2 linked regions of the Arabidopsis thaliana genome follow. The protein of the gene in region 1 interacts with the protein of each later gene in a pairwise test. Each region holds a gene or a part of one and is shown on either strand. Other genes may lie near its edges.

The links.
Region 2: the proteins of AT1G19000 (region 1) and AT2G15740 interact in a two-hybrid assay, tested with the Arabidopsis thaliana proteins (one large-scale study listed by BioGRID).

Annotation. Positions count from the first base shown.
Region 1 is NC_003070.9:6,560,544-6,564,484, forward strand, and holds the start of AT1G19000 (Homeodomain-like superfamily protein), read right to left. Parts: upstream 2,249-3,941; 5' UTR 2,142-2,248; coding exon 1,841-2,141; intron 1,649-1,840; coding exon 1,440-1,648; intron 1,140-1,439; coding exon 792-1,139; 3' UTR 1-791.
Region 2 is NC_003071.7:6,856,084-6,859,914, forward strand, and holds AT2G15740 (C2H2-like zinc finger protein), read right to left. Parts: upstream 1,653-3,831; coding exon 663-1,652; downstream 1-662.

The sequences.
Region 1 (3,941 bases):
AAAAGGAACCCAAAAAAAACAGAGGTTATTAGCTTTATTATCTAGTCCTCTATATTTGGATTGGGAAAAGAATTAATTTGACCAATAATACCTGAAATAACGGCTAATCGCAGACAAGTAAAATTGACAAAATTAGATTCTTTTTCTTTAAAATTTACTCTGTTTTTTGGATTGTCATGTACTATAGGGAAAAATGGTGTTTGCTAGGGAAAGAGAAAAAAAAAAATCCACAAAAGTCGAAGTGGCATATGAAATTGGCAACATTATTATGACATTAGAGATAAATGATAAAATATTCGAAGAACCATACATAGTTACATACAGTTTTAGGCTTTTATCTTATCCCCAAAAGATAAGATAATAGAAAAGCCTAAAAACCCCACAAATCACCAACCATTGATTGAGATGGGCCACATGAGAATCACGCTTGTTTTTAACTTACATCACCACAAAACAAAACACACACAGCAGAAAATGACTCATAACAGTGTGTGTGACAAGAGTTTTACAAACAAACAAAGATGATGAAGCACCCTAGACACAGTTTGTCCATCAATCTCTATAGCCTTCCTCTGTTTTTGTTCTGTTTTTTTTTTCCCCTGATTATATTTTCAGACAAAATACATAAAAGTTTGACAAAGTAAGGCCTAAAGAAAGATCAAAAACAGGACTGAGACTTAATAGGGTTCTTTTTTCTTATCTGTTTATACCTAATATGTACTACTAGTACTACAACAACAGAGAAACAAAGAAAGAAACAAGGTCTTGTAGATTCACCTTGGGTTTAAGCTCTAAGCAACTCTGATGATGCTGCTATTGCTATCTCCATCGCTGAAGCTTGGCATCATCGTGAAAGCCGAGTGTCTTGAGTTGGGTTGCTCGTTAAGATTAAATGAGGATGCCAGACAAAGGTTGAGAGAAAGTGGAGCAGCATCTGTGTTTAGATTGAATGTTGGCTTTGCTTGGAAGGTTACTGGAACCAGATATGGATCGTTGAGATGAAATGTCTCTGGTGCATTCTCAGTTTTTGTCGGCACGTCAGTAAAAACTTGCATCGCTTGCTGTCCAGAGCTGATGTTGGTTTCAGGTAGTGGTGAGTTCTCCTGAGTAGGATCTTGCTCCATGGCCATTTCTGTAACCTGATCAAACCAATCACACCTAACTGTCACACACTTACCATTATTGTTTATAAACTACAACTTAAAAGATATATACCCAATTAGACCAAAAATCATTATGATACTTCTCCATATTACTTTGTCTTTAAGTTCTAAAGAAGAAATACTAAAAACCTAAGAAAGGAAAGAGCTTTGAGAAAGCAGAGAACACCAAAGAAAGTAAGAAAGTTAAGTTCTATCAACTAAGCTAAAGTCTAGACCTTTTCATTCACATATGATTTAGCTAACATAAAATGATTTAGGATAAGAGTAGAGATTTACCGTCTCAGTAGTGATATCAAAAAGGCTAGATCTTCTTCGGCGACGGTTGAGGTTGGTTCGTCGGAGGAAGTATTTCTGAGCATGACTAGCTACTTGAGTAGGAGTCCTACTCTTCACAAAGTTTCTTGATATTCCTTTCCAATCTCCTTTTCCTACTTTCTGCAACCCAATCAAGAACCTCTTATGCTCGTTCTCTGTCCATGGAACCCCTGTTTTGTTCAACACAAACAAACAATAATCAACGACAACGAATCCATAGCTCAAAACCAATCAATCACCGACATAAATTCCAACATGCATAGATTCAATCACGAATTGGATAAGATTCAAATTAGAGACATTCTAATAATACAATCAATCAGAATCCTAAGCTCTTATCAGAATCAGAAAAAGAGTAGTACCTCGTTTCCTCCCGCCGGAAGAAGACGAAATCTGGACAGCGTCATTGGCGGAGGCGTAACCGTCAGCGACAATCACCGTCGCATCCGTTTCGTTCTTATCTTCACCATCTCCAGCTCCGGCGGTGACTATCTTAGGGATCTCATCCTCCGGAGAAGACTTTTCATAATCAGAGAGATTGTTCAAACTCACACACTTTCTCATCGGATCAACCACGACTCTAACTCCGAACAACATGATCTCATCTCTCTTTCCCGTAACGCCGCAGTCTCCGGTCTCCGACGAACTACTAACGGCGGCCATAAATAAAACACTTTTTCCGATTTTGCCCTTTGCGTCGCTTTTGGTTTTTACCCTTTCGAAATAAGAACCGTACAGATTAGGAGACGAGGTGTGAGTGGATCTGAGCTACTTCTTCTGTCTTGTCTTTATAAAAACTCGATAAGCCACGTGGCATTACTTACTCTGTTGTGTGTTATTACGATAACATGACACGTGTTTATTTATGATTTGTTCGTCACTCGTTTCCTCTGTGACCTGCTTGTCTCTCTATATTTATCATTTCTTCCATTTGGATTTATTAATTAATGAGTTATTTTCTTTGGATATATTCTGATAATGTCTCTCTCTCTATTCATTATTTTTGTCATTTTAATTAAATGTGTTTTTTTTTGTTCAAGCAAAGTGAATGTGTCTCGACGTCCTTCTCTCACGTAAAAAAAATGGTTTCTAGTGTGATTTTCTTATTGATGATTTGAATATAGAAATGAGAAAAAAAAAGTTGGTAAAGGAAGTATGGTGTGTCATGCGCATGAAGATGAAATGTGATTTTTGAATGGTAGTTCATAATTAAACTGTATAAGATGGTATTATAAGTGTGTTTTATAATGTAATGTTAGTGTTAAACGAATCTGGTCAACTTACTTAGTGCGATTCCCGATTACATCCAACCTGATTACCTTTATATAAAAACCATTATCTTATTTTAGCTAGCTTGTAACGAATCACACAAGCAACCAAAAAGTTACCTTGATAATCTCAATCTGTTAGTACTCTTTATTTCATCCTTCGCTTTAATCTAAATTAATCCTCCAAATCCCTTTTAGAACATTGTTTTTATTGAAATACAAATTACTTCTGGTTAGGATTAAATGATTGATAAACTAATCAAAAGAATATTCCAAATTGTGGCATCAAAATATTTGATGAAGACATGGGGCCAATGGGAGCACATGATATCCTCATCACTTTAAATACTAGCTAGTATTTTATGTATCCATCAATTCTCTTCTTCTTTTTTTCCTTTTCCCCTTCAATTAATAGCCTTTTAAAGTTTTAATTTCCCTTGCAAATTGTCCTTTTAAAACCAGATATGATGATAATCCCTTACAAGTTACAAGCATGATTAACGTATGAATCTCCTCATAGTTTACAAACTGATTGATTCACATTCACACCACTAGTGAAACACATGACCGATTAATTCGACTGACTAATCATGTTTTAAGGGATATTGTCATGTGGATCATATCACTAAACTCTATTTTAATTGAAAATATCACACAAAAGTATAGTATAACCACATTCTTGCAAATATAGTGAAGAAATAATTGAATTCACACAAATTTTGGAGAAGGTTGTTGCTGATCGGGGTTGACTTTATATGTTCGCAAATAAACATGATATTTTATAAGAATTATATTGTACGATTAAATGACCGTTGTTGATCAGTTGGTTAAATATTGTTTTTTGCAAATTAAATAAGAGATTACAAGTTCAATGTCTATAACAAATTTCTTTACAAATCACAATGATCATAAAACTTAAAAAAAATTGGAGTCTAGCTAATGATGTAACACGGTTTAACAAAAAGAAAAGAGTATATGATGAGCTTCTCCAATAATCTTGGTTCAGCACATGAACTTAACCTTTCTATCTCTATCGACTCTCTCTGGTTTATCTTCTTAATCTTTGGTCGTCTTAACTCAAATCATTCAACATTAGAAGTATTCCATTGTAAAAATGTTTTGTTGTTGCAATTAGTGATTTAAAACAAACTAGAGACTTAAAACTTTTACGCTTTATCTTGTTAGTTTTTTTTTT
Region 2 (3,831 bases), on another chromosome or scaffold:
TTTATTTTTCATTAAGTAAAAATTTAATAATAAAGAAAAATATGTAGTATATTGTTCTTAGAAACTAATGTTTTACTTTTTTTTTTGTTTAAAATTTTACATATAGAATTACATATATATAGTTGTATTCTACCATGCATTTTAAACTTATTCCATTCTACAACTCATTTATGCATTTAAAATTTTGAAGTATGATCATTTTTAAATTTTTTATCAGTTAAAAGTTGAATTATATTTTTATAATATTATTTTTTTATTATTTTAATATCTCATTTATTTACATAATTTATTTTTCATTTATTTAATTATTTTTATTAATTATAAGTAATAGAAATATGCACTAAATGAATGTTTTAAATTTATTTTAATGTAAAATAAATAGTGATGTTTAGATGGGTGCTTAGGTGGATGCTTATGTGGATATATTAGATGGAGCAAGGACTCTCCTTAATAATAACAACAAAATATATACTGTTTTGTTTATATTGAACCAAACCAAATAAAATAAACAGTAAACAGTATATATATAGATTTGAGAATTTGATTTGGTTCAATTTTGGTTTAGGAATAATAACAACAAAATATAATGAAATACTAGAATTAAAAGACAAATATTAATTTCATATAATATATTGAAAAATAGATATTAAGGAGATACAATCCTAAACAAGCTCTTCTTTTACGACCACAAGATGTTGGAAAGTTTTATCGTCACTTTTTTCACTGTTGTTGGCCACATCCTCTTGTTTGGTCTTTTGAGGCTCACCATTAATTTCACGATTTAGTTTACAAAATTTTCTTTTGTTCTTTGCACGAATTCTCTGTTCTCTTTCTTCGCTTGTTTCATTCTTGTAGTGAGATGACATATGTGCAGCAAATTTTTGAGAAGTATTAAAGACGCCATTGCACTTGGGACATGTATATGGACCATATTTTTCATATGGTAGACTATGTGTCCTACCATCATTGTGATCATTGTTACTTTTCTCGTTTTCTTGAGACTCAATGTAATCAGTAGTTGCTTCAAAAAATATGGTTGGTTTCAAGATTTTCTTCATAGAACGACCATCTTGGAGAACACGTTGATCATGATTGTGCTTTGATGACAAGGAAAACATGTCTAAATGTTGAGGATATGCAGAATTTTGACTCGGAAAAATGACATTAAGAGGTTTAGGATTCAAAAATTCGCATTGTTTATCAAAAGTATTTGGAGGAGAAAATATAGGATTCCAAATATTGGTTTTGGGATTCATGGCACGTTTGACACGTTGAGCATCATATTGTACAGCGTCAAGTGTATTAGTAGGAACAATGGCTGTAAATTTGTTTGTAATGGTTTGTGTGAAAGAAACTCGAGTAAAATGAGGATTGTTTGTGATAGAAAAATAATTGTCATCAGAAATTATGTTTCTCTTCATCATATGATTTTCCACATGTGAATTTTGGAATCCAAATGAAGATGAAGAGGCATGTGAATTATGAAAACAAGAAAAAGAAGGAGATGATGAAAACAGATCACCATGGTTTGTGTGATCCGAAGTAATGAACCTCGAATGAACCATTTGAGAATTTTGATTCATTTGGATGGAGGAAAAACCACGATTGTTATCATCACAGTGAGGATTGAACTTATTTGGCATAGAAGACATTTTGAAAGATAGATAGAGTATATATTTTCTATTGTTTGTCTTACCCTTTTATATCAAATACAAACTACGTAATAAATATATTAACCTCAAAAACGGAAATTAATCTTTAAATGCGAAAGGAAAAAAATCTACTTTATGTTCTCTATTATAAAATTATATTAAATATTTATAAATAAAAGAATCTTTAATTATTCATTTATTTCCCTGCAATCATCTTTATTTATTTGGTAATATATGGATGCAATATAAAATTTGATTTCCTGTCATATTCCTTGATTCAGTAATTGAAAATATGGACAAGATCCAGATTTAATATATATGTTAACATATATAAGGTAGTTTACTTTAGGAAATATATATTCATAAAGAGCATTTGTTGATGTTGTGTCTTCTATCTTAATTTTGTTTGGTGATATTACTTATTTGGATCCCTATTTAGTTCTATAAGTTTATTTACTAATTATTATTAAATAAATATTTATAGTTTGCATTGTGTAGATTTGCAATCTTATCTTCTAATAAAAGTTTTTATCGAAAATCTTATCTTGTAAGTTATAACTTAGTAAGTAACCATATATAATAAATGAAAATAGTTATTCCGGGATCACCTTCATCATTTAAAAGCAAATAAAATTTAACATTTGTTCAACTACTAATGCATATAAAAGCCTATGAAAATATCTTAACAAAAAAAACTATACAATTTGAAGGTCAATATGTTAAAAGTCAATAAATTAGAAACATAAAATAAATAAATATTAAACTTAATTCAGAAGCAACATAAACCATCAACAAATGAGTTTTTAGTGCATCCTTTCATTGTTTTCTAGGTGATTTAATCGCCATATTCAAACTAACGAAGATAACTTAATCTTACTGCAAGTAAAGAAAAAAATTAACAACAAAAAATAGTTTTAGAAAGTTTTAAACAACTAAAGAAGAAAAACCAGAACTAGAAAATCATAACACACAAAAGAACATTCAATAATAATTAAAGAGATAACAAATTATCAATAATAGAGAGAAACAATGACAAAAACAATTAGAGAACAAATTACGGAAACAAAGAAATATACGAAAATTTAGAGACGTGAAAAAGATAGATGGAACTAATGAAAGATATATAAAAACAAAAACTAAAAATGGTAAATTGAAAATGTTAAATTTTTTATAAAGTCCAAATAATTTGGATGGAATAGATACTAGGATCATAAAGAAAAAGAAGAAAATAAAAAAGTAGAGAAAAGAAAGTGAGATAAAAAAATTATTTCTTTACTTACACATGTTATAGGTTTTTTTAACGACTGATGACAGCATATTTATTTTGGCATAGTCAATGAATGCTTATGTTTCAAATATTTATCAACGTTTAATTCATGTTTTAAATAACTGCAGATGAAGTTGATGTTTAAAATAGCTAAAATTTGAAAGTTAACTAACAGAGTCGTTAAACGGGTGATAATGTGCATTAGAGGTTCCGACTAATAATGACATGTTTATTTTGTCATGATCAACGAATATTTATGTCTCAAACGTTAATTAATATTTATTTCATGTTTTAAATGACCACATATGAAATTACTGTATAAAATGGCCACAATTTAAAAGTTGGGGGAGTAAATGACCGCATCCTCTAGTTTGATATTTTTATGATCGCCATGAACTGCTTAAATAATTTAATATATATATCTAGGAAATCTCAATTTTCTTTTTGTTAGCAGCACTCTTGGAGTGAAATGATATATGTCGAACAAATATTTAAAAATGTGAAATTCAATATATATATATATATATATATATATATATATATATATATAAAAGAGGTGAGTTCATACAACTTAAGCTTAAAACATTACATGAAAGATAAGGATAAAGGTTCAATGAGTTTTCCAAGATGCATAACTTTAACAAGATTGCAAAGGCTACAAGATCTTTTGGAATCTATAGAGATTCAAATTTAAAGGCTAGCTGCAAAAAATATCGGATCATCTTATAACCATAATAAGCTCGTGCGATTAACGCATAAGAGCTTTCATTGAATTGCTCCATGGAAGAGGCTGTGGGTGGAGTCTTTTTCCCGATGGCGGAGTAAAGTTTCGGAGAAGGTATCTCCTTAAAAGTGATGCAAGACTCGGAATTTACCTAGGGTTTACGCTTCTCGGTTTCTCAGCCAACGGCT